Arabidopsis thaliana: one gene and its partner. The protein of the gene in region 1 interacts with the protein of each later gene in a pairwise test. Each region holds a gene or a part of one and is shown on either strand. Other genes may lie near its edges. The genes, in order: SHM4 and UBP16.

Evidence for each region.
Region 2: the proteins of SHM4 (region 1) and UBP16 interact in binary tests that used the Arabidopsis thaliana proteins (3 or more experiments, as listed by UniProt).

What each region holds. Positions count from the first base shown.
Region 1 is NC_003075.7:8,043,978-8,054,312, reverse strand, and holds SHM4 (serine hydroxymethyltransferase 4), read left to right. Parts: upstream 1-4,155; 5' UTR 4,156-4,291; coding exon 4,292-4,969; intron 4,970-5,378; coding exon 5,379-5,769; intron 5,770-5,860; coding exon 5,861-5,962; intron 5,963-6,055; coding exon 6,056-6,300; 3' UTR 6,301-6,621; downstream 6,622-10,335. Other genes in the region: RLP50 (receptor like protein 50), read right to left, coding at 7,777-10,335. UniProt on the Arabidopsis thaliana protein: Catalyzes the interconversion of serine and glycine with the conversion of tetrahydrofolate (THF) into 5,10-methylene-THF.
Region 2 is NC_003075.7:12,676,331-12,689,824, reverse strand, and holds UBP16 (ubiquitin-specific protease 16), read left to right. Parts: upstream 1-4,848; 5' UTR 4,849-5,296; coding exon 5,297-5,577; intron 5,578-6,001; coding exon 6,002-7,283; intron 7,284-7,388; coding exon 7,389-7,474; intron 7,475-7,601; coding exon 7,602-7,687; intron 7,688-7,792; coding exon 7,793-7,955; intron 7,956-8,052; coding exon 8,053-8,176; intron 8,177-8,262; coding exon 8,263-8,420; intron 8,421-8,828; coding exon 8,829-8,913; intron 8,914-9,009; coding exon 9,010-9,219; intron 9,220-9,681; coding exon 9,682-9,743; intron 9,744-9,842; coding exon 9,843-10,332; 3' UTR 10,333-10,625; downstream 10,626-13,494. Other genes in the region: REN1 (Rho GTPase activation protein (RhoGAP) with PH domain-containing protein), read left to right, coding at 1-183, 269-327, 452-512, 624-707, 805-918, 1,005-1,174, 1,272-1,335, 1,418-1,552 and 1 more; DIC2 (dicarboxylate carrier 2), read right to left, coding at 2,338-3,279; AT4G24550 (Clathrin adaptor complexes medium subunit family protein), read right to left, coding at 10,922-11,020, 11,098-11,171, 11,255-11,315, 11,403-11,490, 11,647-11,741, 11,837-11,941, 12,022-12,122, 12,435-12,561 and 4 more. UniProt on the Arabidopsis thaliana protein: Recognizes and hydrolyzes the peptide bond at the C-terminal Gly of ubiquitin. Involved in the processing of poly-ubiquitin precursors as well as that of ubiquitinated proteins.

The DNA of each region.
Region 1 (10,335 bases):
GAATTCCCTCGTCTGAAGTCATTTAATTTATGAGATCTCGTTCGTCTGATTGGACCACGAGAAACGTCCCATGTTCTCCGCTTATTGTAACGACATATTTCTAAATTAATGCCTTAGATCTACCACGACATGTGAATGTGACTTTTCTGTTTGTTTTTTTTTTTTGGTTAACTTTGGCTAAATCCTTTTACATATTTCAGAACATTTTGTTTATAAGATCCGTCAATTTTCATATTAAAATAGACAATTCAACCCGCTATATACGGAAAATTGAAATCTAGAACTTTTTATTTATTTTTGTATATATATAGGTTCTTTTTTTAATCAAAGAAACAAATATACAACTTATTCAAACCTAAATTATCAGATTTAACACCTAAATCCCAGTATGAATCCGTATTAAAGTTGGGTTGAAAATAAAAACAATAACTTGTTTTTGAAGAAAGAGTATCAATAGGTGCAAATGCAATAGCCACCAAGCATTTACACTAGTGGCATTGTGTGTGTGTGTGTGCTGTTTGGATCTGGACCTGCGCGTGTAGGAACGTCGGTGGATCTGACTGATCTTAAAAGATCAAAACAGAATTAAACAATGTGGTATTAATTATATTAATTATACTTTAGTATATATATATTTATTGTAATTATATTATGTTGTGTGATTTACCAAAAGAATCGTAATATTTCAAAGCAGCCGACAGTGAGAATCATAGCAATTATGTGGCGATGTGCGTTTCTTTTTTCTTGTTTTGGTGGTACTATGCAGATCTAACATGTTACTATCTTTATATGTTTATGAATTTTAAATGTACTTTTCGAATTTTAAATAGATCTTGTTCTCGATAGAAACTATATACATTGTACTACTTTTGCTATTAAACGAGTAACAATCGTATATTTCAATAAATTTATAATAGTCTATCTCCACCCATAATGTTTCACATCCGGGTGATACATAGCACTGACCATTTATTATCCCAAGACTTTGAGCACTCAAAAGACTATTTGATAAATTTATTCGAGAGTTATGAAACTGGTAGTGGTAGGTTTGGAAAATAAATTACACGAAATAAAAGCTGGAGGGTACTGGATTAAGACATTCGATTCTATTCAATCGACCAGAAAAGGACAACACTCGAGTTGTGTCAATTTCAGTGTAGCTTTTGGCTACAAAGGACATAAATATTTCTGAGTTAAGTAGACCAGTAATCTTATAGCTTATAAGACAGTGACAAAAGTTTATGGTAAGAAGATTGAGTAGTATCTTTGGGCTCTCCAAATAATGGTGAGTTTGTTACAATTTACGATGAATAATCTTGGTGACTGGTGGCTTATGCTATTCTTACAAATGGCCAGCACCAAGTCAAAATATATATCTTCTCGAGGAATTCTACGAGGCGACTCAACCCGATATATCCATATGTTTTTAGTATATGCACCGAAGTTTTGATCCAAATGCCTTAAAAGGCCGAGTTTCGAAAAATGATTTTGGAACTCCGAATATCATAAAACTGTCAATGATAGCTTATTCTTTTGTTGGGCAACGAAGGAGGAAACTAATGCACTAATGAACATTATTATTACAACTTATAAGTGAGATTCGGAGTCAAAATGTCAAATTTGGAAAAATGTTGAAGAGGAAGAGGATTTAAAGACCATTTTCAGCAGTTCTATTAATGTAATCTACAAAAAATTTATATATTATTTACAAAAAAATGTAATTTTATCGAAATTGTTTCTATTGGAAATCGATCGAAAATAATAAAATATGATATAAAAATATATTACTTCTTTCAGTATATGAGAAGTATTTATTAAAATTTTTAAATGTGATAACATACCGGTAAAACTATTTTTCAAAACAGAAAAAGACAACACAATTATTTGAAAAACGTGAAAATTTGGTATTTCATTTCTTTTTGTAAGCAAACCATGACGTATAAAAGAAAGAATTCATTCTAGGTTTTAATATATTTTAGGAATAATCTCACCGGTCATCATACAAGTTTAGCAGAAGAATAATCTCACCGGTTTCATTATGTAGTATGTCACCATGTCGACACCACAATAGGAGTATATATATGATATGACTCCAAAAGAATTGTTATTTAATTAAGAAAGTATTATAAGACAATACTTTTCGTTGTATTTGCGGAGGTAGGTGGGTTTCCAATTATACAGGTCTAAAAATCGAGGTTGGTGAAGCTTACTTTACAACAAAAGTCCTCCTCTATTATTCTACCACATGGAAAAAATTCACCAAAACGTGATTTACACATACTCTCACTTTATTCTAATATTTAATATTTTTGTATTCATATTTTACGTAGATCGTTTAATTTTCTACATGTCGAATAAATAAATAAACACTATTAAATTGACTTTAACGTTCAAACTTAAAAGTTTACTTTTACCAGCCTTTTTTCTTTACTGAGTAAATATTACCTGAAAAAGACATTTTTCTAACTTCAGTATTCTGTGTGTTTACGAAGAAAATGAAGATCTTCGTCACATCACATGTTGACCTCAGATCTGCCAATACCACTAGGCACTACGTTACTATTTAATGACCACATAATCAAATCTTAAATTGAAAAGACGATTTTGACCCTCACCGACTCACATGCATACAAAACCACCTACTCTCCTCTCCAAACCCCATGATCATGCCATTCTCTAGCAAATATTAAATACTTAATATTCTTTGATCAACCGAGGGCACGATGCAATAATAATAAATAAATTTGTTAACCATAACAACTCCTCAATCGTGTAGTTAGTTAATTAGTATGTCCACGAAAAAAGGTTTCAAAGGGAGGCTACCAACTATTTCTTGTTTATAAAAATGTGTGTTTAATGGCTCTTTTCATATGCTAAATTATAAAATTTGTGACAGAGAATATCTAAGACTTTAGTGGAATAACAAACTTATTTTTTCTCATTAGAAACTGAGAGTATCGAAAAATAACAATTTGTACACATTTCATTTGGCATTTTCAACATAAGCAAAATGGGCGAAAGAGTTGGATATGTTCTCTAACTATAATGTGATGTTAATTTGGATATGGTATCGATTAAGTGATCTAGTCAGGATGCTAAGCAAAGACCACCAATTTCTTATAATGTTGGGATAATGAATAGTGAGGCAAAGTGATGCTGTAGTTACACATATGATGAGTTGTCACTGAAATTATAACATAAACATAAACAAGGATATAGTCTTATAGAGGGTACGGTTACACATATGATGAGTTGTCATTGAAAATTATAACGTAAACATAAACAAGGATATAGTCATATAGAGGGTACGGTGACTTCGTGATTCTTAGTGATGATTGATGAATATGAACTAAGATTCATCCGCAAGTAACTTTAAAATCAGATTACTATGAAAATACAATTTTAATTTTGCGTTATCCGTTTTCAAGTGTTTCGTTTAAGACCGTATAAAGTTTTATTTAGCTTGGAGATATGTGAGAGACTATTTTTATCCGCAAAATTCATATGTTTAAATTCATCGTGAATACTTCCTTTGTGAAAAAGCTTTAAAAAATACATTATTAACATTTAAGGGGTTAATCACATAATATTGAAGCGGATAAATTGTTGAAATCTTCACAACATAGATGAAAATTTTGTGGTCGACAATGTTGACGTTGGTTTAATTACCTTTGCATTGTTAACACATAATACATCTTATTTACACCAGATGTACGACCATTTGAGTTTTGAAAGGTTAAACTATGAAAAACTATAGAGTTTCTTATTAAAATGTAATTACTCCTATCTAAAACACTGGGCTGAATCAAGATCATGGGCCCTCAAAGCCCTTTTTCCAATTTTAATTCCTCCGATTTATAGGGATTTATACAGTTTTTTTTTTTTTTTTGGAATCAATAGATTATATTTTTGTTTGTAATTACTTTTTATTTTCTACCAACAAATTCAATTTCTGATGTCAAAAAAATAAAAATAATCCGAGAGAGAGATTTACCCAACACAACCTTAAATGCAATTGGGCCTTAAGTATCCATCTAATCATAATTAATTAAGGGAAACAAATATTGGTAAGAGGGTAAAATAGTCAAAACACACTAAGCTTGTTCTCCTACCACACACACCTAACCAACTAACACCAAAATTAGCAAAGGAGGACAAATCCGTAATTTACCCCATTTTCTACTCCTCTTTTAAACCCAACCGCCTCTCTTCCCACTTCTCACTCTCTGATCTCAGATCTCTCCCTCCCTCTTTCTCCGATCTCAGATCCATTCAACAATCTACAAAGAAGATGGAACCAGTCTCTTCATGGGGTAACACCTCTCTCGTCTCCGTAGATCCAGAGATCCACGACCTAATCGAGAAGGAGAAACGTCGGCAATGTCGAGGAATCGAACTTATCGCTTCCGAGAATTTCACTTCCTTCGCCGTCATCGAAGCTCTCGGAAGTGCCTTAACCAACAAATACTCCGAAGGTATTCCTGGTAATCGTTATTACGGAGGTAACGAATTCATCGATGAGATCGAGAATCTTTGCCGTTCAAGAGCTCTCGAAGCTTTCCATTGTGATCCAGCAGCGTGGGGCGTTAATGTTCAGCCGTATTCTGGATCTCCGGCAAATTTCGCTGCTTACACGGCTTTGCTTCAGCCTCACGATCGTATCATGGGGCTTGATTTGCCTTCAGGTGGTCATTTGACTCATGGTTACTATACATCTGGTGGTAAGAAGATCTCTGCGACTTCGATCTACTTTGAGAGTCTTCCGTATAAGGTGAATTTCACCACTGGTTACATTGATTACGATAAGCTTGAAGAGAAGGCGTTGGATTTCAGGCCTAAGTTGCTTATCTGTGGTGGTAGTGCGTATCCTAGGGATTGGGATTACGCTAGATTTAGAGCTATTGCTGATAAGGTTGGAGCTCTTTTGCTTTGTGACATGGCTCACATCAGTGGTCTCGTTGCTGCTCAGGTATATTATAAGCCTATTCTCATTTGTATTGATATTGTGTTTCATGTAGATCTGGTTTTGTTTTAGCATTATGAATTGTTTAGAACGAAGATCTGCATTCATTGTGTCAAGTCTAGTGTTTTCAGGGTTATCAAATGTTCTTCTTCCCAAGAACGAATCATATCACATTGTTAAAGTCGTTTGATTTTACTTGTGCCGTCTCATTTTAGTCTCCTAGTTTATAGTTTAACTCCTATAAGAATGTTTAAGTGAACACAGGATGAGATTCAATTCTTTTCAGTAACTAAAACCAACCTATTAGCCTGATGAAGTTTGGGGATTACTCTAATGTTACTTGCCAAGATTGAGTTTTTTTTTTTTTTTTTTGCATTCACCGACAGAACTGATTGAGTTTTAATCATATTTACAGGAAGCTGCAAACCCATTTGAGTACTGTGACGTTGTGACAACCACAACCCACAAGAGTTTGAGGGGTCCAAGGGCTGGTATGATTTTCTACAGGAAGGGTCCAAAACCACCAAAGAAGGGTCAACCCGAGGGTGCAGTCTATGATTTTGAGGACAAAATCAACTTTGCTGTATTCCCTGCGCTTCAAGGTGGTCCTCACAATCACCAGATTGGTGCTCTAGCTGTTGCGTTGAAGCAGGCTAATACTCCTGGGTTCAAGGTCTACGCAAAACAAGTGAAAGCCAATGCTGTTGCCCTTGGAAACTACCTAATGAGCAAGGGTTACCAGATTGTGACCAATGGAACTGAGAACCACCTTGTTCTCTGGGATCTTCGCCCTCTTGGATTGACCGGTGAGTGAATTATATCTCAGAGAAAAAAACCCACTTTTGCGACCCTATGGTTTCTGGAACTAGTCCTGATGTTTATATATTCTTCTGTCAGGAAACAAGGTTGAGAAGCTCTGCGATCTGTGCAGCATTACATTGAACAAGAACGCAGTATTTGGAGACAGTAGTGCTCTTGCTCCTGGAGGTGTAAGAATCGGTAAGAGGGAAATTCTGAAATGTTCTTGACAATGGCCATTGAATCTCATTTGTGGGATCTTGCTAACATATAAATATATATGTGTTTGTGTAGGTGCACCCGCGATGACATCGAGAGGATTGGTGGAGAAGGACTTTGAGCAGATAGGAGAATTCCTGAGCCGTGCAGTGACACTGACGTTGGACATCCAAAAGACATACGGTAAGTTGTTGAAGGACTTCAACAAGGGTTTGGTGAACAACAAAGATCTCGATCAGCTCAAGGCTGATGTCGAGAAGTTCTCGGCGTCTTATGAGATGCCTGGATTCCTCATGTCTGAGATGAAGTACAAGGATTAGAGATCTTTCTCTATATGCAAGAGTAATCTTCTATTATTATCTACCATATATATAAAATATGCTTTTGTAGGATCGCCTTAAAGGCGAAGAGATGAAGATGCAAACAGTAAAAAAAAAGGGTTTTCTTTTCAGCTATTTCTTCTTGAATGTTTTTTTTCTTTTTCTTTTGGTTTCTTATTGAAATTGTTGTATTTTTGTTGGCTTTTTTCTAATAATATCAGCGAGTTTTTCTTTCCACTGTTTCAATTAAATACGGTGTGTTTGTATGGGTTTTAGTTTCATAGATTGAATTATTTGTACTCAACTAAGGAATTCTTGTAAATGCAAAAAAAAAAGAAAGTTTTACGAAAAGTAAAGAAAGAAATATCGTAAGTTGGGACGACGACGACGAAGATTTATACAGAGGAAGAGCTTCTCGCTATCGACGCCAGCGAAGCTTCCTATCTCTCCCATTCTTCTTGTTACGCTACTCCGACCGTACGTGATACGAGCTCCGGCCATGAACACGAACATCCAATTGAAATCCCCAATTTCCCTCGCCAGATGCATCATTACATCACTTCTTCTGCAGCTTATAACCGATTGTCGAGGTAAAGATGGAAAAGTGGATTCATCAGTCTCCCTAGAGATCTTTAGCTATTATTTTCGAATTTCTTATCGCTTAGAAATTTCTGGGTTCTTGGTGATCTCAATTCATTTGTTTTATCAACTTTTTCCCCATCTGATTCGATTTCCAAAGTTGTTATTTTCTCAATTGTTCATACCCCAATCCATTTATTAAGGTTTTTGTCACTACAATGATGATGTTAACGTTCTCCACTTGTGTGCAAATATGATTCTGTAGCTAAGCAATCTATCCGTTGGTTATTGACTTGTTTGTTGCAGCTAAATCTAGCTAGTGAGGTTGATAAGTGAGAAATGCAGCTTCTTAAGGTTCTTGATACCAATAGAGATGATATTGAGTGAAGACCAAGTTTTTTAAAAAGGTATTATGTTTAACATCAATGTCTTACTTTGAAAGCACCTCTCAGTTCATGCTATTAGGGTCTTATCTCGGTCTGTTTGCAAGTTTCATCTATTTCGATTGCGGTCTTTAAGTATGCAATGTGCAATCAAATTCATCTGATGGTGTGATTTTTTTTCATCTCTATGGATATGTTGTCTTTAGATACGGAAGAGCTTAATATGCTTGTTGTCTCCTTTGTAAATGGTCGGAAGAAAGTTTAGATGTCTCACTTGTCCAGTTTTGTATAGTCTCGAATCTCATTGCTGCAGCTTTTCATATGCATTATCCTTTAGAGAAGTTCCAGTGTGATCTAAATGATAATTCGTGAAAATTTGGGATGTTCAGGTGTTCTCCCGGGGAAAGTTGCAGTTGTTCAGCGACACAATAGATAAAAGTAACTCAACAGAAAGACAGATTCTCAAGATGAGAGACCCAAACAATACTATAAAAGAGAAGACACTTATTATTGATCATTTTTTCAGCGGAGAAGAAAAGCAGGAAAAGATTCTCATGAACCAGTCACGTTTATATGAAGTGAGAATGTGGCCGATGGCAAGTCCACAAAACAAACCAGGTACATAGCCTATTGCAGCTGCTACCCAGCTTAATCCTTTATCTTTCTCTTCCTTTTCTTTATCTTCTTCTTCTTCTCCACCGCATTTTTTTTGGAGAGGAGCACCGCAAAGCCCGGGATTCTCTGCGAAAGAAGAACTGTTCTGGCTTTGAATCTGAGTGCCTTGTGGTATTGGACCTTCAAGCATGTTGTAAGAGAAGTTCATCCGCGCTAGAAATGTGAGTTCCCCGAGCTCTCCTGGGATACTGCCGGATAATCTGTTTTGAGATAGATCCAATGATTGGAGATTGCTCAAGTTTGATAGAGATGGTGGAATATGGCCTGTGAATGCGTTGTTTGACATGTTGAGCACAATCAGTTCCTTGAGTATACCGATGGATTCTGGAATATCTCCTTCAAGTCTGTTTCCGGAGACATCGATGGTCTTGTAGATTTCGAAACCACTCCCTACCAGTTCCATATTCAATCCTTTGATCGTCAGAACCACAGATTTATGAAAGGATTCTTGGTCATCTCCTACAACCGTAAATCCAGGCGTATTATCAATAATGTCTACAAACGATGACATTACACTCCAACCAACAAAGTAATCTGATGGCAAGACTCCACTGAAGCGATTTTCTGAAATGTCAAAAAATCGTAGTTTGGAGAAACTTAAAGAATCTCCAGGAGAAAATATTGGCCCATGGAACTCGTTAGAACGAAGGACAAGCAGCTGTAGATTGGGCAATGATTTCAACCAGGATGGAAATGTGTCATTGATTCGGTTCTCTTCCACGTTCAGAAACTGGAGATAACTGCAGTTGATCAGTGACTTGGGAAATTGTCCTGATAACCGGTTGCTACCAACATCTAGTGATCTCAAGTAACCATGCAGAGATTCCTCTGGAATAACACCAGAGAGACTGTTATTTCGAAGATGCAAGATCGAAAGAGTTTTATTGGAAATCTCAAAACACGGGGGAATAGAACCGCTGAAGTTGTTGTTGGACAAAACAAGTGTCCCAATTTCGCATACTGCTCTAGGAATCTCTCCTGAAAACTTATTATCAGAGGCTATAAAGCTATAGATAGGATTTGGTAACATAGTTAGTTCTCCACTGAAGGCATTCTGAGCAATGTTTACATACCTCAACGTTGGTAGTCTCCATAACCATTCTGGTACTTGGCCTTCAATTTGATTGGCAGAGATGTCTAAATGATACAAACTGGTTTGGTTTTCCAGAAACTTAGGAAACTGAGAAATATTGCAGGATGATAAAATCAAGTGCATCATATGTGAGGGAAGATGGTGCGATGAACTGATATTCAAATTAATCCCTGAAAGATCAAGTGACCTAAGAGACTTGAGCTGCAAGAAGATGCTGAAATCAACAATGCCTCCTGTGTCCCAGAAAGAGAGGCTAAGAGCCGAAAGCCCGACTAGTTTCAATATAGATCTTGGAATTGGCCCATTGATATTGTTTTCTCCAATGTATAATTCTTGAAGGTTAGATGGTGAAGAGATATTCCCAATCTTAAGTGGACCGCTGAAGTCGTTTGTTCCCAGGTCAAGTTTAATCAACGAAGGGAGCATGAAGAGAGAAGAGGGGATGGTTCCAGAAAATGAATTTCCACTAATATCAAAAGCCTCCAGTTTGGAAAGGCTACTCATGTTAGATGGGAGCATAGCTTTGAACTGGTTAGAACTAAGGTCGACATTGGTGAGTGAGCTCAAGTTGAGTAGCATAAGTTGAAAATCTGTTAGTCGGTTTAGGCTGCTCATCGAATCTGGTCCTTCACTGGTGAACTCATTTTTAGAAATATCAAGATCAGTGAGATTAGAAAGACTTCCGAGTGAAGTAGGAATCTTTCCAAAGAAATTGCAACGATGAAGATTCAAAACCCTCAAAGATTTGAGATTGCCCATCGAATCTGGTAACTCACCGGTGAAATAATTCCAAGAAAGATCAAGATCAGTGAGATAAGTAAGATTTCCGAGTGAAGAAGGAATCTTTCCGGTGAATTTGCAACTAGTAAGACTCAAAACCCTCAAATGTTTGAGATTGCCCATCGAATCCAGTATCTCACCGGTGAGATCATCATTATAAGAAAGATCAAGATCAGTGAGGTAAGAAAGACTTCTAAGTGATGTAGGAATCTCTCCAAAGAGATTGCAACCAAGGAGGTTCAAAACTCTCAAATATTTGAAGTTGCCGCTGGAATCTGGTAGGGTACACGAAAGATCATTGTAGGAAAGATCTAGGCTCTGAAGATGTTGTAGTCTAAACAGGCTGCTATTAGATCTCAGACGGCCATTGAGATCACTGTTTCCGAGGTCTAACTCAACCACCACTCCCGTCTTAGGATCACAAGAGATACCACCCCAAGAACAGCAATCAGTGTTGTTCCTCCACTTCGCTGTCGTCTGAAGAATCAGCATCAAATCAGAATCGGGGCTTGGGATAGAGAACTC
Region 2 (13,494 bases), 4.6 Mb from region 1:
GGCAAAAAGGATGAGGATATCGTGGTTAAGGGAGTTAATAATACAGAGGTAAAGGCTGTTGTAGAGGTCTCGACAAGTGAGGATAAGAATTCATCAACGTCAGATGTGGCATCTGACACTCAGAAACCGTCTAAGTTATCCGATGCACCGGGAGGAAGTAAAAGGCACTGGGGCCGTACCCCTGTAAGTTTCTTTTTCCTCTGCCTTTATTACCTATCTCTTAAGGGATCCAGACATTTAGTAAACGTTTGGTGTTTTATGTGCTCAGGGGAAGAAAAACTTGTCAATGGAATCTATTGATTTCTCAGTGGAAGTGGACGAGGACAAGTAAGTATCATCATCTCTACAAATGATTTACATCTTTATGTTTCTTTCAAAACTTCAAATTTGTTTGGACTAGAATTAATGTGGTCTACATGGTTCTTCTTCTGACAATGTTAATATTCTGCAGTGCTGACATTGAGAGACTTGAGTCAACCAAATTAGAGCTGCAAAGCAGAATTACAGAAGAGGTCACGATAAGTCCTTTTGAGTATTTTTGCTTTTGCGAACTCGGTGTGCTATACAGGTGGTGATTTTGACGAGTATGTGATCTCTAACAACCTCCATGTTTGGTACAACAGGTAAAAAGCAATGCAGTTCTACAGGCTAGTTTGGAGCGACGGAAGAAGGCTTTGTACGGGCGGCGCCAAGCACTAGAGCAAGATGTAAGTGTAAAATAAAACCTTATCTTAGCAATGTGAAGTTTGTTATTTATTGAGTGTTTAAATTTTAGTTATATGAATGTGCTTTACCTTTGACTAGGTGGGAAGACTACAAGAACAGTTGCAGCAAGAGAGAGACAGGAAATTAGCTCTGGAAACAGGACTGAACATGTCAAAAGGGAATCAACCTATTCCAGAAACAATCGATGAAAATGTTGCTCCTCTTCATTTTTGTCTAGCAACTAGTTGATTTTTGTCAGGCTAAAAGTACATATATCTAACTTGGGAGACATTTTACAGTTGAAGAAAGATCTGCAAGAGGTAGCTCAAGCGGAGGCTGATATTGCCAAGTTGGAACATAAGGTTGATGATCTTGAAAATAGGCTTGGTCACCATGACGGAAAAGCCTCTGGTTCTACGCATAGTGCCAGCAAAGAATCTCGGAAATTGCCAGAGCACAATGCGAAGATGTACGGATTCATCAACAGATTCACATTTAACCTCACAACCTATGGTTTAAATAATATCAAAGCTAATTACTCGTCTTCTTTCAAATTTGTCACTCAGGAAGGAGAAACAAAAAGATACTGAAGCAGCCTCTACTCACATTTCTGAAAGATCAACGTCCAAGGTAACCACTGTAAACATTTGTCTATCAATTTTGTGTTTTCTTCCTCTGTATTTATCCTCTACAGACGGGTAACATATTGCAGGATGGGCAAGGGGCTGCAAGAGAAAATGAGACAGAGAAGCAACAGGATTCACGGAGCAAAAGCTCGCAACAAGAAACATCACGTGGCAGCTCAAAACTGGTGGGCTTGTCAAAGAGGTCTGGCACAAAGGGAGAGGTAAGTTTCATAGTGTAACCATTAAATTTCATCCAAATATCGTTCAAAGCTAGAAACTGAGTGAAATAAACAGGGAAGCACAACAACAACTTCTGCACTTTCCAAATTGACAATGAGACTCAACTTCCTCAAGGAGAGACGTAGTCAGATCGCGAACGAGCTCCAAAACATGGACAAAGGAAAAACCCTAGGGCAACCCAGTCCAACCTCGGGACAAAACCGTGTATCAGAGGAAACTGAAAAAGGATCAGGGTCGAACCAGGATCCAGACAGCAGCAAACTACAGAGCCCTCACATTCTTGACAGAGGAAGATCCGAGAACGGAGGAGACAGAGGCAGAGGATCATCTGGAGGAAACCATCCCAACACTACACCAAGGACCTTCTCCAGATGATACTCTTTATCAACAACCCCTTCCCTCAGATGTACAGCCGCCATTTAACAACACCACCTCCAGTTATGCTTATTCGTCACCCCCCAACAACCAAATAACAGATTCTTTCTTCTTTTTAGTCTCATTCTTATCTTGCTTCAGCATTTTTTTAAGACCAAATAAACTACACTCTCTTTTTTTGTTGTGTTTTAACTGTGCGTTGGATCTGTTGTTTTGGTAGTGACATTTCACATCAGTATAGAAACTAAAATTGAATTGTATTTAACAACAATGCTTGAACAAAAAATATATTGAATCCCCCTCTTCCTAGTTCCTTCTTGTGTTCACTATTTCAAAAATGAATAAATCAATATAAATAGTCGCCATCATCATCATCAATAAAAGAATGGTATCAAAAATCTCGAAGCAGCTTCCTAACTTGCTCCAACGTAACGAAGAGAACAACAGTGAAAGGACCTTGCCTACAAACTGTAGGAACAAAGCCTTTATAAAGAGCCATGGCTCCTTCCGCTTTAACCGTCTTCACCGCACAATCCCACGCGCCGTCGTACGCTCCCACCTTCATATTCATCACTCTCGTCTTTATCACATCCACCGGATTAGACGCAACCGAAGCAACAAACCCCGCCGCAAAACTCGCTACCACGTGAGTCCCTAGCCCATCATTCATCACACCATTCTCCAATATCCCTTCCTTGAACTGATCGTAAGACGCTAGCTGAGCCGCCGTCACAATCATCGCTCGGTTAATCGTCAACGCCGAGCCTCGCCACAAGCTCGTTACGCCTTCTCCCTTAACCATGCTCCTGATTGCGTCTCCTACTCCGGCGTAGTTACGACGTTGCGCTAAAGGTAACCTCCCGTCAGCTTGCATCCTAACCATCGCCACGTCAGCTGGATTTCCAACGGCGGCTCCGATTCCACCAGCGACTAGCCCTGCACCGATCTTCCTACTCAGATTCAACTTCCCTGACTCAGGATCAGTCCATTTGTTCTTAAGCACTTCGTATAGACCCATCCTGGTGGTGGAATATAACGTCTGACGGAGAAGTGTAGCGGAGACTCCTGAGAATAACGCGGCGGCGCCTTCCGATTTGACTATGTTGATTCCGAGTGAGATCGGTCCTACTTTGGGGACTGAAGAAGTCGTTTCCAGGAAAGCTGCAGGAGAAGAATTGGGGAAAGCGAGAGCTGGACGGAGGAGAGTGACGGTGGTGGTGGAAGGTGCTTCACCGTGAAGCTGAAGACGAACCTTGATTAGATCGAGAGGGTGAGTAGAGCAACCGGCGATTACAGAGGCAATCCCACCTTCAACGAAACTTTTGACTCCCATTGTTGTGAAATTGGAGAGAGAAGAGAGAATGAAATTGAGATGTTGTGAGTGAAGGAGAAGAAGAGGGAAACAAAGGTATTTATTTGTAGCGAGTTTTGTTTTGTGACGCGGTTTTGTCTGTGTTCAATGTTGACGAAACGAGTGAGAGAGTGTCTGATTATTAAAGAAAACCCTAATTAAGTCAGACCCGCCGGTTATAAAAATAGTCAAAAAGTAGGAAAACGCGTGTGTGAGTGAGACAGAGACAGCCCATTGTTTGCTTTATGGGCTTATAAGCGAGACGTGTTAATTGGGCTTTTTCCTTTATGGCCGAAAACAAAAGAAACGTCGCCTGAGAGATTCGAACTCTCGCGGGCAGAGCCCATGTACTTAGCAGGCACACGCCTTAACCACTCGGCCAAAGCGACTTGTTGCTATGAGTTAGACAAAATCATTAAAATTCTCTATTATGATTTCTCATAGTGTGTGTGTATATTGTGGATCTACTAAAAATTCTTTGTTATTATTACTTTATTTTGTGAATTAGTTTGATATAGGTAAGTACAAAGTTAACTTTATTATTTACTCAAAATTTATCAGATTAACTGATTTTATATTGTTTCCTTTGGTATATAGACGTACTATAGTTTTTAGAAAAACCATAAGATTCCTTTATATTTCATAGAGTGAAGAGATGAGATGAGATCTTGGCTGGAGAAGAAATAAGTTTCCACGAGGAGGACTCTTTTTTTTTGGTGAAGACGAGGAGGAGGACTCTTGGTTGATCCAGTCTTTACGTTAGACATCGACCCCTACATTTATTTGCCTTTCTCTATCAACATGGCAGGTAAAAATCTTCATTCAACCGAACCAACCAAAGTCTCTTCCCAATAATATTCAAGCACCATCCTTTGGGAAACTCATACATACTACAGTCTACACTCTTTCATTTTCTTTCAACGCTCAACTTAACAAATGATATAGTCTAGTTGTCAATTATATGTTTTAATTAGTGTTTTCACATCAAATTCTGGTTTGATATTTGATGACTATTTTCGGAAACATCTCAATGTCCCGCAAATACAATCGTCTATCATATATAATCCCGTACGTTGTATTCTTATAGATAGAATAATATGGCGTGATCTTTATAATATAACATATAGAATCGTGTAGATTTATTTTATTTTATTTTTATATATCGCATAAATTGCAAAATACTTATATATGTTTGTTATATATGATACCCATTTTATAGTTACTTAAAAAAAGTTAAGCGATAATATATATATATCAACTTTTTATAACAAAAAAGTATAACACATGGTAAAGAAAAATAAAAATGAAGACATGGTGTGACACGAAAATGGCACTAAATATACATATATAATAGATAGCTACAATATCCCATCATACACACTTTTTTAATTGACTAATACATAACTTACACACTTTTTTAATTGACTAATTCATAACTTTTTATCATTGTCAACATGCAAATTCATATTTCCGTTGAACTATTATTCTTATTTTGTTTTTAAAAGAAGGGCTTCCTGGTAATAAAAATATGATTTCCAAATGACGTTAGAGCAAAAAAAAAAAAAGGTTGTCTGGTCTGGTAAAATGAAAAAGCAAAGCGTCTTGGTATAGAAAAGTAATATACTGCCTCCTAATTTCTTCGTCCTTCTACCGAAGAATCTCTCCACTCTTGCCCTCTTTCGAAACCCTAAACCAGAAGCACCAGATTTTTTCAACTTTTTCCCAGAGAACAATAGAAAACCCAACTTGTGCTCTCTAGGGTTTTCTTTATTCCTTCTCATCTTTGGATTTTCTTGGGTCATCATTTTGGAAGCTTACCCACCAGCGAAAAAATTATAACTTCCATCGATTCCTGGCTTCTCTCTCTCGCTCTCTCTGCATGTGCTAAATCGCCGGACTGATCCTCACTGTCACCTCTGTTCCCGGCTTATTCGCCGGTGAAATCTATGGTTGGTGCTCAGATTTATTTCCAATTGTTTGTGCATCTGGTGGAGGATAAATGCTCCTTGTTTTGGATCTAGGGATTTCTAGTCTAGTCCTTGTGGTCTCTCTTGTTTTACCTTTGATCGGTCTCTTTGTTCGTCACAAATGGAGGGTCGCTGCCCAAAGAAGGGAGGAGATTAGAAGACTTCTTATTCATGCTTCTGAAGAGGCTGCCAGGGCTGAGCTAGAGGCCTCTGTTGAGTTCTCTTCTGTTGCCGTCTCTAATGTCTTCCATTGTCCTGTTTGCTATTGTCTTGCCACGACTCGTTGCTCTCGCTGCAAAGCCGTTCGATATTGGTATGCAAAAATTCTCTCACTTTCTCCATGTCCAAATTACGTTGTATGATCTTAGAGTTATGATTGCATCTGCTGCACTCTCTGCTGAGACGTGATGAATTGGAGTGATTAGTAGGCAAAGAATATAAGTTAGTTCTGTAACTTTAGCGATACTGGATCAGAGATTTAAGAAAATTGACTTCTTTTTCTATGTTAACAAAATTATGGGTAATTAGTTAGCTTGGGAGGAAGTTTAGTATTTGATTCATGGCTTATCTGTGAGTAACTAACTATGTGCTGCTGAGGAATTTATTTCAATTAGATAGCTTAAGAAATGTACTATAATGTCTATCAAATTTTCAACCTTTTCCCCTTAGCGCATGTGAAATTTCGTTACCTACATATCTTAGTGATAGTTGTTTCGTTTTTGTTATTTTTTTTCCAGTTCCGGGAAATGTCAAATCATTCACTGGCGGCAAGGTCACAAAGATGAATGTCATCCTGCTTCCATTGTATATGATAGTGAAGATGAGAGTGATTCCGATTTGAGATTAGGAGAAGAAAATGGACAAAATACTCCTGAGGAAACTTTACTGGTGGGTCCAGAACCAGTTACTATACCAATCGGGGAATCACTATTATCTAATCGTGCCAGATCTCCTGAAGATGGGAATGGAGATATTGCAGATAACAAAGATGACCTTATAGATAAGGAAGAAGCTGTTTCTGTTGCTGAAACATCTGGATCCTCGTTTTCTGGCTTCTCCTCCTCCCCCCGTAATGACTCTGGCGACGAGATTTCTCGTTGTGAGAGCTTCAGTTCATCTGAATCCGAGAGATCAGAGTCCCTACTTGATGCTCATGTCTCTGTAGAGCCAGAAGACACCTGTTTCAGCACCATTGAAGATGCTCCATCCAAACTGTTGTCTCCAAAATTTGTGCACTTGGTTGAATCTGTAGATAATCTCGCTAATCTGCCTAAATTAAGTGTACATAAACCTGAGGATGATGCTGGGCAGAACCAGAGCCAATCAAGGAGCTTACACTCATTAGTTACGGATAGGCATCCAGTATCAGCTGACCCATCTCTGAAGTCATCTGATTTTTGGGGTACGGCTCTTGGATCAGCCGAACGTGTGAGTGATTCTTGTGTTAAATCTAAATCTGGTAGACCTGGTAACTCCTCTCTGCATTTCTCCTTTGGCTCTGGCTCCTCTAGAGACACCTCAGCTGCTAAAGTTTCTGAGCAGAGGAGTAGCATTTTAAAAGAAGCTCCTAGGGGGACTGGTTATATATCTGATGGAGTAAACTTAAGAGAAAGAAATGCTAAAAGATTTGATGAAGCTGAAATTGCATTACCAATTTCCTCTTCTACTGATGCGCTGAGTCCTTTGGACTCTTCTAATTTGTCCCATGTGACCCTTCCGAAGTCAAAGAGCGCTAGTAGTGAAAATGGCTCTATGTTGGCCCCTTTGAAGGTTGGGGAAGTCCAACTTTTGGCATCCAAGGCCTCGAATACCAAGAAGTGTGCTGATCTTATGAAGCATTCTCCTTTAGGTGCAAAATCGGTAAGAGTTCTTGATCATCAGAAACAGAATGGTGCTGTCGTTCAGCATATAAATTCTCTACATGGAAGAAGTGGTTTAAAGGCATCAGTACTGAAAGTTGTAGACCAGTGGACCAGACCGAAGTCTGAAAATGAGATGGCAGGAAGACATGGTCATAAGGTAATCACTGAGTTCTAGGATGTTATCATCATTATGCAATACTTAGTTCCTACATTAACAAATCAGCAAAGCTATTTTTCTTATCAATCTTTTGGTGACATGCAGGGGCTCTTTCCATATGAAGTCTTTGCTAAACTGTATACATATAAAATTGAGTTCCAGCCTTGTGGCCTCATCAACGTTGGCAATAGGTAATTCCAATTTCCTCTTTTTCTAGTCGTTTTTAGCTGTTATAATCTTCAGCTTGTGGTGTAAAAAATGTAAAGTAAATGTGTAGCTTACACTCGCTGATGCAAGAATATACTCTGTTTCTTGCAGCTGCTTTGCTAATGTTGTCTTTCAATGCCTTATGTTCACTCCTCCTCTGACGACATACTTCCTCCAGCAATTTCATTCCAGAGCATGTGCGTCACTGGTTCTAAGTCTTTTTTCTTTTTGCTGCTTATTTTGGAAGGTTATTTTTTATTATCATCAATATATCAAGCCTTTAATAAGTCGTTTAACTATAGGTACAAAAAAAGAACAGTGCTTCACCTGTGGGTTTGAGAAGCTGGTCGTAAAGGCAAAAGAAGAGAAGTCTCCACTGTCCCCTAATGGCTTGCTATCTCAGCTGCAGAATATTGGAATCTTTCTTGGGAATGGCAAGGAAGAAGATGCACATGAATTCCTTAGGTGAACTGACATTTCTGAAATTGAGCAAACTTTGTTGCATATATCTTTATTATAACTGGAAGATCTGTGTTAATTTCATTTTCCTTGCAATTTGCAGGTTTGTTGTCGATACAATGCAGTCTGTGTGCATTAAGGCATCTGAATATGATATGACCAAGAGTAGCAAATTAGAAGATACAACTCTTATTGGTTTGACATTTGGGGGATACCTCCGGTCAAAGGTATCATTACCTACAACATTTGTACTTTACTCATTTTACTTTGTTTTGGAGGGAGTTGTAATCCTGGTACTTATGATCTCTGCCAGATTAAATGCATGAAATGTCAAGTAAAATCTGAGCTGCGTGAGAAAATGATGGATCTAACGGTTGAGATTGATGGAGATATTAGCACCCTGGATGATGCTTTGCGTCGATTTACAAGGACTGAGATATTGGATGGAGAGAACAAATACAGATGTGGCAGGTTGGTCAGCATTCCTTTCCATGTGTTGAACTTCGTGTGGTCCTTTGATATTTCGAATTATCTTTTCATGGTTCTGAGGATAGAGTTTTACATGAGCTTTATATATGGTTCTGAGTTGGGTATGATACCGATTGATTTAAAGTTCATGGGCAGCTGAAGTAGAGTTCATGGCCTGCCAAAGTATTCCCTTTCATATATTTCAATTACAATACCTAGATTCCACGACCAGCTGCAATAAAATTCCCTTCTAGCTTATGAAGACAGAATGTTTTTGAAGTACTATCATGGTCTTTCATTTGCGTAGTTTTAACTAATCACCTGTAACCTCTTATGTAAATCCTGGCAGTACGATTTTACATTCAATGATTGATGGGTGCTTACTCAATTTTTTTATTTTCCTGTGAGCAGCTGTAAATCCTATGAGAGAGCCAAAAAGAAGCTGAAAATAACAGAGCCTCCGAATGTCCTTACCATTGCACTAAAACGATTCCAGGTAACTTATATCTTCAATGAATACCCGGTTTGTTTCTGTTTAGTTCTATCTGGATTCTCTTGTTTCTCACAATTTTGCGACACTTGATTCTTAAAGGCAGGGAAATTCGGGAAGCTCAATAAGTTGATTAGGTTTCCAGAAACTCTAGATTTGGCTCCATATGTCAGTGGGGGAAGTGAAAAATCACATGACTACAAACTCTATGGAGTTATTGTTCACTTGGATGTAATGAATGCAGCATTTTCTGGCCATTATGTCTGCTATATTAGAAACCAAAATAAGTGGTACAAGGCTGATGATAGCACGGTAAGTTTCTCATATATTATCAATGGAATGTTGTTTGCGAATTAGTTTATAAGTAAGCTCGATTTTTTGTTCCCTTTTTACTTGAGTTTGTTATTTGATGAACTTTGGAATTAACTAGGAGTATCTTACTTCTATGACAGCATTTTAGGTTTACAATTTTCTGCTTCTTCCTTTTCAGTGATGAGTTTCTTAGTTTGAAATTTTGAATGGATAAGTATTATATAATTTTCCCCTTCCTTTTATATGCTGAAGTTGTTTTCTAGAAAGGATATTCTAGCTGGTTCCATTGGGGTTTCTATCTTTGTTGTAGTCTGAAGAGTCGTAGGATTGGTTTTGTGAGAGAAAATGTTTTGGCTTCTACTCATTGACTGGTCTCTTCTCGTCATCATCCATATATCTGCATCATACATTTGAAGAAAATTTCAATGTTTAATTCCTCTGTTGTGCATTGATTATTGTCAGGTAGTAACTTCGGATGTGGAAAGGATCTTGACAAAGGGAGCGTATATGTTGTTCTACGCAAGGTAAATAATATTATAATGCATCTCTCACACTCTTTAAAGTTGTGGATTATGCTCGATCTGGTTACTTATGATGGTATATATCGAATGAATTGACTGCAGGTGCACTCCAACGCCTCCAAGATTAGCAGTATGTACCAAAACTGAAGCATCCAATAAAAAAAGCAGAGTGCCACTACCTAAGGCTAATGAGAAAAGTACCATATCCCGGTCTGTGTCTACTTCAAGTCCTGAGTTGTCTTCCAACACGCCTGGTGGTGGTCGATCCGGCAATATACAGTCATTTTATTCTAGTTTCCAGAGGCTGCAGAAGATTTTAGAAGAAGACTCGGCGAGTGACAGTTCATCTCTCTTTGACAGCAACTCAGATGAATGCTCTTGTAGCACAGACAGTACAAGCATGGACGACTTTGCTGATTTCATTTTTGGAGATCATCAGGGACGGGCTCACGGACAGTCTGAGACTCCCTCACCAACATCATCGTCTTCCTCATCTTCTCCCCCCTTCACAAGGCGTTCGCCGCTCAGTCGTTCTTCTCCAGAAACTTACGGAACCTCAAGACATCAGTTGCCCTTGGGAGGAGAAAGGTAAGGGAAACAAGATGGTTTTTTGTCCACTTGGCCCCAACTAAGTCAAAAGTAGTAGAAGAAAGTAGATTTGATTACACGTAGATTGAGTGGTTTTATTAACAACCCGTATTTAGGCTTGGTGAAAGTGGTTAATGAGAGAAGTGGTGGTATATAGTAGTGTATAGTGGGGAAGAGAGTTTTTGCCCATGAAATTGTATCACGTAATGGAACGGAATTTACCTTTGTTAATAAGTTGTTTTGACTTTTATTATAATCAATCAATAAAGCTAATCTAATATTGTCTCATCGTTGCACCTTTATTTCTTTTGCAATTTGCTTAACTTTGAATCTTTGGATTCAGTTCAGTTCAGAAATTCAAGAAAAATCCCAAAAGATGCAATTTTGCCAGTTCCAAGAAAAGAGATCATATGATGTTTTCAGGGGCAAACAAAATAAAAGCATATAGCCATATATGTTGATACCGAAACAAGAAAGTATCCAAATAGAAGAGACAACATTCAACACAGTACTGTGAAGCAAGTGTGATCCGAAAATGAAAAGAGAAAGTACTTAGACATACAAGTGAAGGATAAACATTATCTGAAAACAGGTCATATCCTAGCCACATAAGAATTCGCCTGTGTCACATATCTCACCCAACGATATGGATTATAACTACTTGATTTCTTTGCTATCTGCAAGTATTTGACCTGCATCACCCAATTCATTAGCGTTAATGATCGAAGAGGACGGTTAATGGCAATGCAAGAATCGGCATATTACTTACCTGAAGTTTAGAAACATTGTACATAGGTATCGTGAACGTCATGCTGACTGGCCCTGCTTCCTTTGTGATATTACCTACAACGAATTGAGAATTATCAGTAATGCTTTATTTTCCCCTGAGAGAACAAACATTACAAACTTTTGTCTTAGAGGGTAACCATGAAATTCCTGTGAAAATGTAAGCTTTGCACGCAGTGTATGCTCACCCCCGCCAACAATCTGGAATGCCACAGTTAGCTCATGGAAGCAACATACAGTTCAATATATACCTAAACTAGCAAACCACGTGAGAGATTTAACACTTGCCTTTTTTAAATTCCATTCAAGCATTTTGTTGGATTCCTTGAAATCTGTCCTCTGTCCAGCAGCACCGGGTTCTAACTCAAAACTAGCCCTGTCACAATAAACATAATCGTTGATTCTATTTCTTGTGTGATTCAGAATTCGGTATATCACTATAGCTGGAATTTAAATAAATTCATCGTATTCTCTTCCTCATGTACAATATCTCAGTGATGCACTTGTACAAACCAATCAAAAAGTTATGTACCTGGAAGTATAATTTGGCAATGGCATCTGAACAGTGATTGTGTTTGCAATTATGTCTGAAGGGAACTCAGCGCGTATTTTAATAATCACTTCAGCCTAAATTTCAGCAAACAGAAAAATATTTATAGAGCAATTAAGAAATATACGCAGTTTTTATCTGACTCAGAAGACATGTACGCATGAAATTTCACCTTAAGACGTCCAGCCTCTTCAATCAAGGTATTAACATGAAAAGGAGGCTTGAACTCCTGAGTCATACGGTAATTCATTACTGGAAATTCACCATCTGGTGGAACCTGAAAACAGAACGCAAGTTAAAGACTAATACAACATGCTATTACAAGATGTTTTCTGTACTAAATATTTTGACGCTCACCAGGGACAAAGTTCTATCTGAATCGAAGCTATCCAGACGAACAGACTCATGAAAGTTACAATCATCAAGTATCACCCCTGAACCTGAAGAACTCCTATAATCTGCAACATTTCAAGTGTGATGTTACCAAGGGTTAGATTGTATTAATAGATCAATCCCCAGTTGATACTGATGTGCCTCAAAGATGCAGAAAAAATGCTACAAGAGTAACTACATATATTTACGAATTGGGTTATGACTTATGAGGGAAGTTTGTAAGTGGAACATACAGCTTAGTTGACATTTAAGCATTGTCAACGCCAAATGTCACAGAAAGAGACACCAAGATTTCAAAGAGTGAGACAAGATAGAATATGACGTTGATTCCTTCCAAATATAATAAAGATGATTTAAAGGGGTGAAACAAGAAATACCATATACTGATCTCCCTCCTCTTCCTATGTTTAGGTCTTCATTAAGAGCTAAACGGATTTCTGGATTACCAGAAAGATAGCTCTTCATTTGAATGGTGCCATCAATCTCAGAAGTCAGTATATATCCCTGTTCAGAAATCAGAAAAATAATGGATATTTTCCATGAAGAAAACTAACATTAAGATGCAACTACATGTATTAGGACATAATACAAAGCATTGATCCGCAGAAATGGGTGGTTTGATATGGCAAGAAGAGAACATGCCAAGACTTCTGTACTTTTGATATAATAAACTAGAAGCAAGTAACTACTCACGCTTGAACTAAAAGTAACACTGATTTTCTCGATGATGTCCACAAAAATTTCCTCTCTTCTCCGACCCCCAGGATCATTAGCCACAACCGATTTTGTAACTGCAGTTCCAGGCATTCTTTTGGCTCCTTGCTGCATAGCATAAATTAAAGGGGTCAGTCACATATACCAGGAGGAGGAAAATGAAAAGCAATCTTACTGTGAAAATGGCAGCAGGATCAATAGGCTGAAGGCGGGCAGGAGAAACCACAATCGGCTCATTGAATATATAAGATTTCAAAACTTCGGTAGATGTAGTTTGCACGTAACCAAAATCCTAATCAAAAGAGCACAGAGTCTTATTTAATAAAAAAAAATCAAAACTGGGAAAATAAACAAATATAGCTACTATATAGATATAAACATGCTAACAATGAGAACTACATCAAGACGAGACTTACAATAACTTCATCAAGCAACTCATACACGAGCACAAAGTTTTTCCTGAATGAATCTTCATTCAGAACACCAAGATAATCCTTAATAACACGAGCAATCCTTTGTAGAAGCTCCAAAACAAGAGAGGGTGACACGTTAACTCTCGTTGTCGCAACAAAATATAGACCAACAACCTTGACATGGAAGTAGTTCACGCCATCGACATTCTATAAGCACAAAAAATAAGTTAGATGAAATCATTACAGCTCACAACCAAACAGAAAGTATAATACCTACAAAGATAGGTGGCGCCTCTGCATTGCCATCCTC